Arabidopsis thaliana: one gene and its partners. The protein of the gene in region 2 interacts with the protein of the main gene of each other region in a pairwise test. Each region holds a gene or a part of one and is shown on either strand. Other genes may lie near its edges.

Evidence for each region. The genes of interacting proteins can lie anywhere in the genome.
Region 1: the proteins of FACE2 (region 2) and ELIP1 interact in a protein complementation assay, tested with the Arabidopsis thaliana proteins (one large-scale study listed by BioGRID).
Region 3: the proteins of FACE2 (region 2) and PDLP8 interact in a protein complementation assay, tested with the Arabidopsis thaliana proteins (one large-scale study listed by BioGRID).

Annotation. Positions count from the first base shown.
Region 1 is NC_003074.8:8,082,681-8,087,776, reverse strand, and holds ELIP1 (Chlorophyll A-B binding family protein), read left to right. Parts: upstream 1-2,107; 5' UTR 2,108-2,331; coding exon 2,332-2,475; intron 2,476-2,561; coding exon 2,562-2,660; intron 2,661-2,804; coding exon 2,805-3,149; 3' UTR 3,150-3,372; downstream 3,373-5,096. Other genes in the region: AT3G22845 (emp24/gp25L/p24 family/GOLD family protein), read right to left, coding at 189-404. UniProt on the Arabidopsis thaliana protein: Prevents excess accumulation of free chlorophyll by inhibiting the entire chlorophyll biosynthesis pathway (e.g. 5-aminolevulinate synthesis and Mg-protoporphyrin IX chelatase activity), and hence prevent photooxidative stress.
Region 2 is NC_003071.7:15,211,628-15,217,649, forward strand, and holds FACE2 (farnesylated protein-converting enzyme 2), read left to right. Parts: upstream 1-2,758; 5' UTR 2,759-2,979; coding exon 2,980-3,189; intron 3,190-3,497; coding exon 3,498-3,557; intron 3,558-3,642; coding exon 3,643-3,849; intron 3,850-4,022; coding exon 4,023-4,134; intron 4,135-4,236; coding exon 4,237-4,308; intron 4,309-4,383; coding exon 4,384-4,446; coding exon of another isoform or gene 4,447-4,502; exon of another isoform or gene 4,503-4,531; coding exon 4,532-4,609; intron 4,610-4,688; coding exon 4,689-4,822; 3' UTR 4,823-4,986; downstream 4,987-6,022. Other genes in the region: AT2G36295 (uncharacterized protein), read left to right, coding at 128-469; AT2G36300 (Integral membrane Yip1 family protein), read right to left, coding at 1,735-2,502. UniProt on the Arabidopsis thaliana protein: Protease involved in the processing of a variety of prenylated proteins containing the C-terminal CAAX motif, where C is a cysteine modified with an isoprenoid lipid, A is an aliphatic amino acid and X is any C-terminal amino acid.
Region 3 is NC_003074.8:22,439,648-22,445,598, reverse strand, and holds PDLP8 (plasmodesmata-located protein 8), read right to left. Parts: upstream 3,829-5,951; 5' UTR 3,565-3,828; coding exon 2,838-3,564; coding exon of another isoform or gene 2,821-2,837; exon of another isoform or gene 2,226-2,820; coding exon 2,083-2,225; 3' UTR 1,996-2,082; coding exon of another isoform or gene 1,991-1,995; 3' UTR 1,725-1,990; downstream 1-1,724. Other genes in the region: AT3G60730 (Plant invertase/pectin methylesterase inhibitor superfamily), read right to left, coding at 1-24, 191-644; AT3G60710 (F-box family protein), read right to left, coding at 4,127-4,477, 4,558-4,698, 4,844-5,138, 5,226-5,401. UniProt on the Arabidopsis thaliana protein: Modulates cell-to-cell trafficking.

The sequences.
Region 1 (5,096 bases), on a different chromosome or scaffold from region 2:
CAAAGATAGCAAATTTCCACAATCCCAACCAAACCCTAAATTGTCACATCCTTACAAAGATCAGATCAGGTCAAAATTAAGCATGAGAAACACCAATTTCACGATAAATCAAACATTGGGATTATCGAAGGAAACGTATCAAAGTTAAGAACTTTTGGGGTAAAAAGGTAAATTGAAAGATCGCTAACCGTGAAATCCAAACCAGGATGATCGGATCCCCAGAAGATATCATGATCGACGACGACGAAGTTACCGGAAACAGTGTCGCCTTCGTAAAGGACGTACTCTTGGACACATTCTTCGTCGTTCACCGTTACAGAGAGAGATGAGATTTGATTGATTGAATTCAATAGAATTAGACCTATCAATACAAAGACATGGATCTTCGCTTGTCGTCTCTCCATCTTTTTTTTTAGATCTTCTTCGATCAAAAAAATTCAGTTTGTTTTCTCGAGAGAATTCGCCGAGTAGAGGAAGAAGAAGAAGACAAAGAGGATTTTATTGCGACTTAGATTACCAAACCGGAAATTAAAACCGGTTTATGACGACACGGGGAGATTTTATTGGTCAACGGCTTTTGGTCATTAAAGAGAGTTAGAGAAAAATATTACTAATTTTAATGTAAGTAAAATACGATCTAAATTATGATTAAATTGATAAAATTTTACTTCAAAAAGTGTTTCAGTGATGTTTGTTTTTACAAAAAATTTTTGATTTTTGTATATATATTGGTTAATGACTTAATGTACGTTTTGGAAGTTTTTTTTATCTACGCCATTGATATGTGTTAAAAAGAATTGACTGTTATGTATGCATAATAATGTCAAGGTAGTTTTTATTTATTTGGTCAATAATGTCAAAGTACTTATATTCTAAGAAATCATTATTTCCGGGAACAAAATCTAAAGAATCATATGTTTTCTTCTTTGTGTTACCATGTAAAAGTGAATCCTTCCAAATTTCCTTAGGTTGAGAATGACAATTCTTCTTTCATATGTTATCAAAGACTAAAATGATCAGAATGTCAATTTGCAGATTTGGTCAACACTACATTAGAAACGAACATATATGAGCGAAAGACATGATTTGGTTAGGGAAGCTAGAGTTGATGGGCCTAATGAGCCCTATACGGCCCGTTATGAGATACGTATGACTGTAAGAGTAAATAGTCTTTTTTTTCTTAACAGTAAATAATCTTTATCTCCATTTAATTGTAAAGTTATTGACATTTTGAAACGACCGTAAATATTACCAAAAAACTGACGGAGTTAGGATCGGCCACGTAGAAAGGGACAAAGAGAGAACAGTCACGGACTCGGCCAGACTAAGTATGGGCCTGTCTGAATCCAAACTCAGCTAAGTTCCAAAAGCATAAAGAGAGATGTGTAATGAAATGAACGTATTCTAGAAACGAAAGCAATGTTATGCTTTGTTTTTGAGCCACATGTTTTTGGGAGATGGAGAGAATCTTTTTTACGTTTTTAACCTAACCCACTTGGCACTTGGCCAAAAAAGTGAGAAGAAACTGTGGCGAATGAGTAGGCCACGCCATGGACTTTGTTCCTTGTCCTTCAAAAGTTAAATTTATGTTATGCGTGGGGACAATCTAAGCAACGTGGTTCCTTTAAATATCGCAGCTTCCTCTTTTACACTTTTGGAGCCTACGTGTTTTGTTTTGGACCGGCCAAATACACGAGTCAGTCAGTTTAGAAATAATTTGGATGTCCAAAAATCTTGGAGATCCAAATAAAATAATTAGCATGTTTTAGTTCATAAGAATATGAAATGTAGATAAACTGTCCATATTAATTTTTCCATAGAATTGGCTTTTTATCGAGGTGATGTACTTAATGACTTTGTTGATTACTACTCGTATAACAATAAAGAATATGATACTATGTGAGACTTATAATGAATTTGGTGTGTGTTAATTAATCCAGTTGAAACAGTTTAATAACAAATCAGAATAAAAATTGTAGTAAGAAAATTTGAACGCTGATCCTTCAACCTAGATAGTGAACCTTTCAAATACTATATGATTCACGTGTAATGTTTTTGACCGTTGGTTATTTTTGTGTGAACTATATTAACTTATCAATATCGAAAGGCTAAATAAGTAAATAACTAAAAGAAAGTTCAGGAAACAACTCGACCTAATGACCTATCATTTCTGATCACCCGTCCTATAAATACATACGTAAGATCATTCGTTACTCATATCAAGCTTCTACACACGATCTAGCTTAAAGTTCTGTAACCTAAGCGATAATCACTTAGCTACTCCAAGTTTCTTCTTAATTTCTCTCACACTAGTAGTTCTAAGCTTTAGAAATGGCAACAGCATCGTTCAACATGCAATCAGTCTTCGCCGGTGGATTAACCACTCGCAAGATCAACACCAACAAGCTTTTCTCCGCCGGTAGCTTCCCTAACCTCAAGAGGAATTATCCGGTGGGAGTGAGATGCATGGCTGAGGTACGTTATTCTCCACTTCCCTGATACAACGGCCATTCATCATGTGACTATGAAATCCTGACCGTCTGATTATTTGACTTTTTCAGGGAGGACCCACGAATGAAGACTCTTCACCAGCACCATCTACCTCGGCCGCTCAGCCGTTGCCGAAGTCACCATCTCCTCCTCCTCCTATGAAACCTAAGGTATAATTTTAGAAGTTTTGATAAACAAGAATTTGTATTTTAATTAATCGGGTCTTAGATATTAAGAACATACAATCTTGAAAATTCATTAAACAAGCTTTATTTGTGAATCTTTGTTAATAACTTTTGGGGTGGTGAATATAGGTGAGCACAAAGTTTAGCGACTTGCTAGCGTTTAGCGGTCCAGCACCAGAGAGGATTAACGGACGTTTAGCGATGGTTGGATTCGTTGCGGCGTTGGCTGTCGAGCTATCCAAGGGTGAAAACGTTTTAGCTCAGATCTCCGACGGTGGCGTCTCATGGTTCCTCGGTACAACAGCGATCTTGACACTTGCGTCGCTTGTGCCGCTTTTCAAGGGCATAAGCGTTGAGTCCAAGTCCAAAGGTATCATGACGTCAGACGCTGAGCTTTGGAACGGACGTTTCGCGATGCTCGGTTTGGTCGCGTTGGCGTTCACTGAGTTCGTCAAAGGTGGGACACTCGTCTAAGGAAAAGAGAGCACGTTATGGGGAGGATGTTTTAATACGATTTTGCCCATGTAATTTCTCTGTAAAGTAATCTGTGTTAGGCCTACTGTGTGTTTTATACATGTGTACTAAGTGACATTTTGAAACTTCGGGTTAAAAACACTTTAAAATTAGTGGTGTTCTATAAAGCTCTACGCCTTCCAAAAACTTTCAGAAATTATAACCATACAATATGTGACTTACAAGGCCAAATTATATTAATGGCCTGTCATCATAATTGCGAACCTAACAAATAACAATACACGATTTCACCTACTATCGAGTTTTACATTTAATGCTCATCTTATAAAAAGAAAAAAAGAAAAAAAATGTTAAGAAAATTCACATCTTTCATTTGCCGACGAAACAAGTGGTGAGTGATCCACTATAGATGATATATAATTCGAACAAATGGTGGATTCAGAAAAGTCTTAGTTAAAAATAAAATCAATATCATTAAGCGTAACTACTAAAATAAAAATACACAAAATATCAAAGAATCTTCAAACTGAATGAATCTCAAATCTTAATGCTGGGGAAGATAATAAATTTACCAACTCTAATTGCCATTTGAATAGATCATATACCGATAGATCTTATATATGTTTAGACATCACTTAAATATCAAGCAAAAAAAAAATTAGTGTATGAAAATCTAAGAATATTTTATCCTGAATACATAAAAAAAAAGGTATATGTAAACACAAACATAATTTACGTTTGAAATAATAAAATACTTTTTCGGTCATCGGAAAAACAGTACATAGAGAGAGGACCAGTGGACAGTGATTAACATTTAAAAAGAAACGAGCATGCGTGAAGTAAAGTAAATGGGCCATATTCCAAATAATTGGGCCAATGGCTTCATTGGAGATCCCTCATTTCCTAAGTCCAGTTAGAAAATATTGATTCTTTACATGTATGCAGGGAAAATAGCTTCCATTGGTTTAGTTATGGATTGTTCTCTTTTGTATAACAATTCTCTTACTAAATGACTTAAGATTATTTTGTTTATACGTTTCACGTGAGATCATAAAAGAGTTTGTTATCAGTAGAATTTATAAGTAATCAAAAGAAAAGTGTGAATCTTATATGGGCAAAATTCAATAAAAAGCCTCTAAAAATGTTATCTAGCAATGAAGTGACTCAGTGAGTCATGAAAAAAAACAGCAGAGCACGTGTATACGCAAATCTTAAATCAACAGACAGAATTTACGTGACTCCCACTTACCAATGTCGTTTGCTTTCTTTTTTTCTTTTTGTCCATTCCTTCTTTCTGCTATTGTTTTTTTTTTTTTTCTTTTTCAAAGGATTTTATAAGTATATTAATAGATTCATGATCTAGTAGTGTATATAACTAGATTTTATTCTCTTAACTAGGTTAATTTATTCATATTTATTACTATTCTAAATGTATGTGGTTCACTATTATACTTTCTATACGTATTAGGGTTTATTTTGTAGATTACCTTTTTTGGAAGGTTTACTCTACACAACAATAAGATTCGATGACAAACATGTAATAAGAGTTTTTTGGCGTGTGATTTAATTAACTAGTATGATATCATGTAATTAAAAAACATATGTGAAATCTAATAATCTATGTTTCAAAAAACTATACCCAAGAAATAAATCAATTATTCCTCTATTTTGCAGAAAACAATGTATAATATGAGTATCTAGTGTATATGCTCAATTTTATAGGTTTAATTACACATCTTGCCGTTATAACAAAAACAAATTAGCCTTTTTGCTATAAAGTGTAACGATTATTATAGGAATAAAATAAACTCTCAAACATATACTATATATGATAAGGCATTTGGAATATGTTTTAGACAACTATCCGCCACTTCAAACATAAAACAACAATCATTATTTTGTTATAACTATTTTTTATTTAACAGTTTTTTTTTTAATGTCTTTCAA
Region 2 (6,022 bases):
ATATTCGTTGAGGACCGTTCTACTAACCCACCTTCTACTTTAATCACCTTTATATATACGTATTAACCACATAATCAAGTTTAAAACCACAAGGACTCTTAAACCGGAAATTATTTCAAAATCAACAATGACACGTTGTGTTGGTTTGGTTAACCGTGGAACAGAAGAAGAGGAGAAACAAGAAGCAAACGAACCTGAACACGATGGCGAGGGAAGTAGTGAAGAAGACGGCGAAGATGATCTGTTCGAGATAAACCTGGAGGCCGTCAGTGATACGGCCACATCTCCACCGTATGATTGCCAGAGATTACCGGCGAGAACAGGTAGCGTTTTACTGGCCAACTGTCTATTACCAGCTGCCGAAATCTCTAATGCCGTACCGGCAACATCAAGAGGTTGGAGTGATTTGGTTTGGTCTAGAGGGGTTCTCTATGTTGATAATCAAAGAATTGAGAGTAAGAATACTTAATCAGATGTATATCTTACAATTTTACCTTGAAACACAAATACGTATCTTATAGACACTTGAGAGATAATCTTGTCAATATATGCAAGTGTTACGAGTGTTTAATCAGATGGTTTATCACTATCTGGATATCATGGAAGAACTAGGTGAGTATGAGTATATATGGTTTCCTTTGACAAGATCCTGGTAAGGGAGAGACCAAGCCGCCTAAAAGTTTGGTTTCAATTGAGTCCAAGGATCGAAATTGTAGGGTATGTCTTAAGTACATCCACCAGATATATCAGAAATTTTACATCTTTACATTGTATGTTTAAAACAATTGCCTACTCCCCTTTGAGTCAATTTGGATTCTAAAGAAAAGGTGGAACACAAAAATGGTTCCCTCGGAACGAGTGTTGCAACACGAAAATATAGAGATCATTTCTAACACCAGTTCTACTGAATGTTTTAGGAGAAGGTAAAGCTGACAAATACTATGCTCACTCAATTGGACATAGCTGATTCTTCTCGACACATTAAAACAAATTCCATCTAAGAGAGTATGAATTGCGGATAAATCTCTCTCTAATTTCCGTGACACAGCAAATACTATCAGGAAAAGTAAGTGCAGTTCTGGGATTGACAGTAGAAGACGAACCTGAAGCCAAGATCCCATGTCCCTACTTATCTATGCCACCTAATCAGGGAACATACCAACACCGAGCAAACCACTAAATACTAATCACTCTTTCATTAGACTATGCCTAAGTTTCCAACAGCTCTAAAACCAACTCAAAATTCTACTCTACCTACATGGAGCCATACTTTAAGCAAATCTAATGCCAATCATTCCTAAAACTTGGGACCTTTAAGTATAATCCAAGCAAGAAGTCAGCACATCTTCATAGCCTCACACCGGGAAAGTAAATAGCAAAATAAACATGAAATAGGAAGCATATAAACCTCTTCTGCATTAGTACAGAAGCATATCATCCGCAACATCAATTCCAATACTCTCACAAATCTAATGTCCAGGAACAAACTATGTCAAAAGACATATCGACCAAATTGTATAAATAATTCTTAAGTAAGAACCTTAAAGATCAAGTGACAGATACAAACATTGAATCAAATTTCTTAAACACCTTTCTAAATTTATCCAAAAAAGCCTTTACACACCGTGCTATTCCCACCCAATTCAACCTCACATCAAAGAACTTATATTGCAGCCTTTTTTTGCTACTTGCTAACACAGCATCGGAAGTGATTCACGATCTATCAATATGGAATCAAAATATAACAAGAAGAGAGAAGAGAGTATAGATCAAGAAACAAGCGTACGCGATCAAGCCACGGTGCTCTTCTCCACCATCAGCAAGAGATACCACCAATGTAGAGCAGGCTCTAGTGGACCACAACACAAACAAAGCCGCAAGCACAAACCGAACCGGCCCTGCTCCCTGGGGAACGAACAATGACACCGCCGATAAAACCACCACCGGAAGCAAACAGTATCCGACCAAGCTCGTACACGTATGGAGATTAAGGTTCCCATTTCTACCAGCAAGCATGTTAAAGACGACGTATAGAAAGATAGAGGAGACGACGATCCATCCAAGTATGACACCGAACTGGATCTTACCAGCTAACAACTGAAATAAGCAAAGCGCAAGGTACAGAAAGATCGGACCAGATAGATCTGAATCTTTGTGAACAGCTTGGTTAATCCGAAAAGGATTGAGAATCGATCTAGTCTTCTTCCAGATTTGATCTGGATGGATACCGAGCTCGTCGAGTAATGGCTCCTCATCTTCAAACGAAGCTGAACCTCCACCAAAAGAAGAAGAGGAAGCGATTGTCCCGCCGAATGGTCCGGCAGGTGTAGCGGAAGACGCGGCTGCGGATCCAATGTCGAATGACATGAAAGGGATTGCGGAAGAAGAGGGACGCGGCGGTTGAAACGGTGTCGCTGGGAATCTTCGTTGCTGGACATTAGCACCGCCTGAAGATCCACCGGAGGGGAAAACTACAGGTGGAACTGCGAAATCCTTCGTCATCTTCTTTCCGAAATTGAGATCTCACCAAATCAGCAAAGAGATTCGAAATTAGGGTTTCAAGTTTGGATCAATGAGATGAATTTTTTAACCCAATTCACACGTTCGTGACGTTTCAGAGAAAATTCCTTTCTTTTTTTTGTTCTCTTCTTCTTCTTGACAGTGAAGAGACAACTTTAGAAGAAGGCATCTGAGGGTAGTTTCGTCATTCCGTCTAGTTAATGACGAAATATAACCAATAGGCTTCTTCGAAACTGGCATGGTGACGTATATCTTCTGATGATATTACCGTTATACCCTCTTTTATAAACGAAATTGGCCCAATGGGTCTGTTCGGCCCAGTAGTCATCCGTTTTAGTCTATAACGTGGCACGATGTAATTGGTTAAAGATTAGAAGACCGCCGGACTAAGATTTAACCAGCGGTGACTTCGACACTTATTAGCCGGTATATTTCTTCGCCGGAGCTTCCTCAACGATTATGGCCACCGATGGCGAGAGTATCTCGATGTCGTTGGCGGTGGCTACCTGCGTCGCGATGGCACTATTCTACGTTTTGATCCTTTACGTTCCCACCGTGATACTCCGTCTCCCGTCGGCTTCTTCTTACACCGAATTCATGATTCGGCGATTCATCTGCGCGGCCATTTGTACTGTAGCATCTCTCGTCTTCACAGCTTTTATACTTCCGGTAAGCTTCTTTGAGTACCGCCATTTCTCGATTTGAAGTTCATTCTCCGTTGATCTGTAACCAAATTAGGTCCAAATCTAGATGCATTTGGTGTTTTGATGAAAGTTAAACTAAAAGTAAAGAAATTTGATGTATTTGTAACTTTGTTGAGAGTTGAATTAGCTTTTACTAGTTGTTGTAGGTTCACACAATTTGTCTCTAAGAATGTAACACTCAAATATTGGTGACTATGTTGTGTTTGGTACAATTCAACGCTAGTTACAGGAATCTCTGAAACTTGTCTTCCTTTTTTGCTTGAGTAATGTTAGATAAAAAGCTGGGAGGCCTCTTATATACTTGGAGTTTATGGCATAAGGAAAGATCATCTGGTAAGTTCTTTGTCTCAATTTGTTTACTCGTAGCTTATTGTACACTATTCATATTAAAATGGTTATGTTTTGTGATATGGAACAGTGGCAAGGAGTGGTGTATCCTCTTCTATTGACCTCGCTCGTTTATGCTGGGTCTTTGGTGTTGAAGTTGTTTACTCTCCTGGAATCATGGAAGGAAAATGGCGGAGGATGTAGTTCCTTTAATTACATCAGAAGCTTTTTCCAAACAATCCCTGCTTCGGTATTGACAAGTGCTTCTAATGTTTCCGTTTGGCGCAATTTTATCGTGGTAATCATATGTTTGCCATCTCTGTGTGCTTATCTTGTCAATTCTTTATTGAAATTGCATAAGGCATTGCTTGCTAATTGTCTGAGGACTATATGCATCAGTTTGGTGTATAAGTAAGTTCTAAATCGAACAAGTTATAATCTGTTAGAGCTGGCGTTTCTTATGATTTGCAGGCACCAGTAACTGAGGAGCTGGTTTTCCGATCATGTATGATACCTTTGCTTCTGTGTGCTGGGTTTAGGATTAACACTGCCATCTTTCTGTGCCCAGTTCTCTTTAGCTTGGGTTTGTTTCTTTCTCTCTCTCTCTCTCTCTGTGAATAACAGTTTACAACTCGAGTGAAAAGAAAATTACTGGATTTGTCTGACTTTTATATGTTTTGTGTAGCTCACTTAAACCATTTTAGAGAGATGTACATCAGGCATAACCGCAGCTATCTCCGGGCTTCACTTATTGTTGGTATGTCTTTGCCATCCATAATCATAATAATATTGTTTGTTGATCAGTCCTGAGCTTCACTTGTCCGTTGATCAGGTCTTCAGCTTGGCTACACAGTCATTTTTGGTGCATATGCATCGTTTCTCTTCATCAGAACCGGTAACATTCCAGGCATTTATATATCTTATACATGTAAAAGCCTTTCTAATGGATGATTGTCTCCTGCATTGTGTAAATTTTACAGGACATCTTGCTGCTCCTTTGTTTGCTCATATATTTTGCAACTACATGGGATTGCCTGTGCTATACGCAAATGGAAAAGGTAAGACATAAAGTTCAAGGTTGTTAACAAATGCAAATGCAAAAGAATAAGCTAAACATGGTTATGGTTCTTCTCTCAGGTTTGGTGAGTGCAGCGTTCTTAGGCGGTGTGGTTGGGTTCGTCTTACTTCTCTTTCCTTTAACAAAGCCTCTCATGTACAACGATAGTACCAACGATTGTCCGTGTTGGCTTGGCTATTGTTTGTGGAATTGACACTTCTCCAAGTTTTTTTTTATATATCATCATGTCTTAGAATCTATTTTTTGACACAATATTGGAATTATGGTCTTTTACTGCAAGCTAATGTTTCTTGATAGTTTATGTAGTTTTTTCCTTGTAAATATATAATAATAATAATAATTGGTTCAAGTCTCCAAAATTAGTGTTGGCTAATTGTCCATTTTTTTCCGGTATTATCCCTAATGATTCTCTTGCTATCCTAGGAGGGACAGGAAGAAGGATGATCTACATCCCCAAGTCTAACCTAAACTATATTGTCCAATGTCAACACGCCAAAATTCATTTGATTTATATATAAAAATAGAGAAACAATGATTAGAAATTGAACATAGGTCCATAATCTTACATCAGAGATTCAGAAGATGATGTCTTGCTTGATGATCATCCAAAGAGATTTTGGGGGTAATCATCAAACGGATATAATTTTCTGAAAATTATATTTCAAAGTTGACTTTCAAAGTCTGAGTTTATGATGATGATTTTCACTTAGGAGTTACGAAAATTATGTTTCTAGGATTCGTAGGTCTCTCAGTAATTTTCTCACCACCACTTGATTACTATGTCATATTCCTACGAAATTTGAAGCTTGGATAGTTGAATTTATGGTCAATAAATTATCTGTACACTACACATATATTGTGTTTGTGTGAAGTAAACGGTGATTTAACGGGAGAGGATCTCTTCATAAAGAAGATGTGGTTGATTATGCTTGCATATAACAGAATTTGTTGAACCGGAAAATCATCCTCGACAAAACCAATATGCAGTAATCTACTCTAAAATGTATTTTACCCAAACTATACACTACTACTATCTAGTGAGATTCATTACTATTGTTTATGTGGATAGTTTTAAAAAGATGAAGACCAATACTATTATGATCTATTCATAAATCCTATTCTTATTTTATAGTTGTAAGTTGAGCTTTTATAATAGAGAGCATAAATATTGCTGGTATTTGAACTAATACAAACCGTTAAAAAAAGGGAACTAATACAAAAAGAAAAATCAACTAAATTTTCACTAATACTAAAAATTTGCAAAATTATGTTAATTTACGTTTATTTATTTATATTATAAATAAGTGAGTAAAATTCAAAATATTTATTTACCTTACATTTTAAATTTATCATCGCAAAATACACCACAAAATTTCATTAAGAAATATTTGTT
Region 3 (5,951 bases), on a different chromosome or scaffold from region 2:
CCTGTCTCGCTGGTCCATGCAGCCCTACCAAATGTTATTAGAGATCCATAATAGATAAACCATGATATCTCAAACAAAAATTTACACTTATCTTGGAGTCTACAATCGTTATTTAGTGATAAAACAGAGCGATTTATTGTATCATTTTATTTAATTATGTATACATGAATGTATGTGTAAGTTTTCTTACTCTTTTTCATATGACCTCTAGACTTTTTGTAGAAAGCCAAAGCTTCATGGAGCACGAACGTGACGTTGCTATGGACCAAAGGCTTATGACCTTGACGTTGCTGAATTAAACCGTCTAAACAAGTGTGATGATTCGCAAGCACGCCACTTAGCCACGTTCTAACATCTTCAACGGTGAAATTCTCATGATCTACGACCAGTTTCGATAGCCTAGCTTCACTCTCATCGTAGAGCTTCTCGCATTCACTTAACCCCAATTTATAATAACTACCAGCAACTTCACTAGTTGCCTCAGTCACAGCCATTGACCCAAAACTAGTCTTGGCTTCAACCACAGCAGTTCTAGCCATTTCAAGTACATCCAACTCGGCTGTGTTTGAGGCGGTTATGACGGCAGCAATGGCTAGAAAGAACATGATAGTGATTAAGTCGGTGACTTTTACAAACGTGGACATTTTTAGTAAATGTTATTATAAGATTGTTGTAGTGTTTAGTAATTTTCTTGAAATGCGTTTTAAGTAAATAATTATTGATGTTGTTGTGTATTTAACAGCAAACGAAGAATGGAACTTGTCGTAGAAATGTAGATGAAGATGGTGGCGAGGAATCTAACAGATGGAGAGAGAGATAAGGCACGTGTGAGAGTATGTGTAAGCTTTTGTTTATATGATTATTGATGGCCCATGCATATGAGACTAACTTCATTAATTACGTTATACATTTCAGGTTGTAAATTAGTGCAACGCTCTGTATCAAAGTGAGTAAACGTATACGTCTATGTGTCAAGAACACAACCTTAAGTTGTTCTTCTTCATCATAAGTTTATTATCTTCAAGAGCTGAGAGACTACTATATATACTGGATTAAACCTAAATTTTTATATACTGGTATAGTGATATATAATCATAATCCCATTATTACGAATTTACGATGGATAAGATATATATATATATATATATATATATATATATATATATATAAATAAAAGAAATTTTCAGGATTTGGAGTCAAAAAGAAAAGAAAACAAAATCCATGAATGATCAGTTATATTTTAATAGAATAATATATAAAGTAATAATTTTGTTGGAGTAATATGTTGTAACATTAGTGAAAATTACTATTTTTGTCATGGGTTTATATGTTTTTGGTAAAAGAATTTCTTGAATTAATTTTTAAAAAAATACAAAAAAAAAGGAATGGTTGCATGGAAAATGTTTTAGTCTTTTAGATATGTTACACGGCTTAGAAGCTTAGTAGGCCGAGGCCCAGTCCATAATAATTTAATGGCTCAATGGAATATGTGGTGAAACCCATGAGAACCGGGTAGATCCGGATCGTAGAAAACCAAAGAATTGATTGAATGGAACCTCTCAAGTCTTATAAGCCTTCTTCTTTTTTTTTTTTGCCGGCAGAACCTTTTAAAGTTTAATGATACTCAATCGATCGAATCACGTTGTTCTCCGGAAATGATAATCTACTTATCTAAGTATGAGTATCGAATAATTGCGCCTGCTAAGGAAAGTGGATTTTAGTCTAAAACTAGTTAATGGAATAAAGTTAGCATCTTTTTAAGGCAGACAATACGGGTCACACTATACAAATATTTAATACCTCAAAGCTAAAAATCATTATATCATCAGTCACTAATAGTTTTCCTTTTGATAAACCAAAAATTTCAGCAAGGAACGGTAACGGATGTGTTCCTCCTACAAAATAAAAGGAATAGTGGAATACAAGAGAGTTCAAAAAAAAAAAAACAGGTCCCTAGAATCTTGTATCCCGAATCATGCCTTTCATTATATCAATCTGCAAATCAGATAAGAAAAATTATGAGATCATGATACTTATTTCTAAATATATACTAAAAATGAGTGATTTGATCTTAAATCTTAATCATGTGAAGATTAGGCAAGTAAGTATAGACTTACGCATGGAGTTTCTACAAAGGGAGAGGAGAACAACAAGAATTGCGAATCCAGCAATGACTCCTACGATGATCGCGATTGATTTCCCCACGTGATCTCCATTCGTTGGATCTTAATAACGAAAATTAGATCAAATTTAAAAAGATCTTAATATTGTATGTGACAAATTAAAGTACATAAGATAAGGACAATATAGTATCAAGCTAAGAATTAGATTTTCTAAGATGCAATGACTTTTGGACTATGTGATATTGATCAAGCTATAAAGAATATATAAAATAAAGTTGAAAATGGGGACATGGGTGGCTATGCCTATAAAGAAAAGAATAATATATTGCAAAAACATTCTTTTCTGACCAATGATATTATAATCATGATACTCGAATTTTCCAACGAATGATTCAAAAGATTAATTCTATTTTATTCAATACTTAATGGTGTCTTTCCAGTGGAAATTACAAAAAAAAAAAAGCAACGAAAATTTTATGATTTCTTCAACTTTCTCGTGCTACCAAGGAGCGACTAGACTTGTGATTTTCTCAATTATAAGCGGCGGAAATTTAAATTTTGTCAAATTCTCACACATTTCTATACAGTTCATTACTACAATTTTCAATTATATTATCATGGCACTAAGCATGATTCACGAATATAATTAAAGAACTTACGTAAATTAGAGCAATAGCTAATAAATGAAATAAAGATTTTAATTTATGGACTGACCTGAAGAGAAGTCATAGTAACCAGAGCCCCAATAACGAGCATAGCACTGAGCCAAGTAAACCTCAGCTGCAACCGCCGAGCCACAAAGATTCTTTAATTTTCCGACAGACTCGGCAAGACAAGCCGTACAGTCACTAGGACTCAAGTCACCAACACACTGAGCATAACCTTCGACTAAACCGGACCGGCTAACTTTGTAACCGAGTTGAGTCGACTCAAGATCCGACAACACATCGTCTCTCCGCTTAAAGAAATCGTAGTCATTCTCAACGCTCTTGGAACTACACTTCTTGTACCTAAGACTTGTGTCTGGTTTCCCTAGAAAATCGTTTGTTTCGTAACGTAAGAAGCAGCCTTCGAGCTGGAGAGAAGCGCCGTAAGAGTAAGGACAAATGAGAGTGATTTGATCGACTGAGGTTTGGATGCATTTTGAGCAGTCTGATGATCGGAGATCGTCACGGCATTGATAGAGGCCGAAGACGGCGGAAGAGGATGAGGAGGAGGAGGAGTCGTTGCCGACGGCAAAGCTGTTGAAGGACGCGTCAGAGGAGGAAGTGACGACAGAGGAGAGGAAAGTGTCGCGGTTTGACTCAAAAGGTGTGTTTGGTGTGTATTTTTCCGGTGAACATCCTCCGTAGATGAAGATGTGAGATTCTGATGAAGATCTTGAGGAGGAGGATGAGTAAAAGAATAAAAAGAGGAGAGAGAAGAGAAAGAGTCTTCTCATATTTTCTTGTTCTTTGAGATTGTTTTCAAAGGAGCTTTCGTTTTTGATCTATCTTATTCCTTGTAGTGTTTTATTTAACAATAATAATCGAGAATGATTATTCATCACTATGGGTCCGAAACTTTTATCGGCGACATTAATACAAACATGTATAATGCATACCGTAGTTAAGAAATAAGTGGATATATATAAATGTAGCTAGGATGAATACAAAACTACATAATAGATCAACAAACGTGGTCTAGAACATTCACTTGTAACGAATCAATACCAAAGTGTAGACAAATTGGATGATAACATTATTGTTTTGTTAAGAGTGCCTAAAATGATTTAGACATGATTAAAGAAGATTTGGTTTTGTGGGTATAATAATATCTTGAAACTTCTTTTGTGCAAAGAGGGTCCCATTTTAGGCATGTCCTTTTGATTAGTATATGTTCGCTAGATCGATTCCATCACACATATTCTCATCAAGTTAGTGGAGAATTTTCAAGTGATAGAAACAACTTTCTTTAAATCCTGACCACGACCAAAAGGGCTAATTAGATTGATCATAAGAGATTTAAAGAAAACGACGACTAAAGTGCTTAGCTTCATCAAATGTATAACCTAGGCGAAATTTCGATGCTTCTCGACCTATCTTCACCTCTACAAAAGAGTAATTTTGAAAGGTGAGAATTTTCTCAAGGACGCTGCTAGACTCGTCTTCTTCTTCATCATCTAACCATAGAGTGAGCTTCAGAAGTGTTGCATTCTCTAAGATGTAGTTAGCAACCTCGGTTTCAGCTTTTCGGCTTTTCTCTTGGTCAGCCTTGGGCGTCATTTTTATTTTGACATTCTCAATGGATGTTTGGAGACATTTTGGCACTGGTGAGCTTGCAATTTCCTCCATCTTTGGATAACCATGAAGCTCCTACAAAGGAAAACACCATAAGACATGTATAATATATATAGTCACTCGCTACTCTCAATACCAAGAGAAGGAATCATTACCAAGTCAATAGATTTTAGGTTGGGACTGCTGGAGAGATATATAGGCAACATCTCTGAATAGTCGGTATGGAGAAAAGCGTACAAACGGGTCAAGTTCTTGAATTCAGGCAGTTGTTGCAGTTTTGTGTAAGCATAGGTTCCCTGTCAAGAACCAACACTTGGTAAGAACAAATACATGCATCTAGAGTATGGCCAGAGATGCTAAGATCTGTGACCTCCGAGAACTCAGCAAAAAACTTGTGCAAAGTTTGCGTGTTTGAAAAGTCATCTCCCCATAAAACCGTACATCGATACACATCTTGATAGAAGAAATAACACTTTCCACTCTGAAGTCTTCCAATGGAAAATCTCTGATACGCAGAAACTCTAAGCTAGGAGTGTCAATCACAAGTCCAGATTCTCCATCATCACCCAAGGAGACATCATCATTTTCTCCCTTAAAGATAAATGTCCATAGACTCAAGCTCCTTAACGTCTGAGATCGCACTTTCAAAAAGTCAACTCCAACATCACAAATGCTCAAGACTTGAAGAACAGGAGAGCACGAGATAAGCATCTCTAGAACCACATCACTCGGTGTACTGCGAAACCCTAAATGCATAACCTCAAGGTGAGGTAGATAGAAAGACTCACAACTATCAAAATCATCCAGAATTACATATTCTAACCGCAAGTTTACAAATTTAAGAATCTGTCGAGAAATTAGGTACAAACCAGGAACACTTTGCCAGAGATTTCTCCATCTTGTCGGTAAGACACTTGTCCTAACAGACTCACTCGTGGGAAGATTCAAGAGTATCTCTTGCAGCAACTCATTGGGCAATTGGCTTATCAAATCTTCCATTGGTCCCTAAATTGATCAACAGAACAAAGAGACAAAGACACGGTATTTATTAGCTAAGGTCTAAGAAAACAAATCAAAATTAAACCGCGTTCTGCAACATGAGTCGTAGAAATTTCTAGACCAGTTAACACGAAATCGCATTCATAGAAAGCAAATTAAGTTGAGATCAAGTTCACAATCAACGTACGAGCAGAGCACTCTCAGATATTTCCAAAACCTAATAAACCAAAAAATTTGAGACGAGTTTATGGAAAGAAGGGTTTTGGTTTCACGTTAAAAAAGTATCTTATCTTCTAAAGACTCTGGTCTAAAGAGAGTGTTTCTACTTTTTTTACAATAACGAGCTTTCGAGACATGACTAGGGTATACGTATATCACAATTATTATGTATGAGGTTAATTTCTATTTTTCGTTACTCTTTCTTTCTTATTAATTATGTTTTAAGAAAAAGTTGTATATTTAGTCATTATCTTATTGGAGACTGGAGAGCATGAAACCACACACAAAAATCAAGATACTTGGTCGAGAGAACCAATATCCTAGTCGGTAA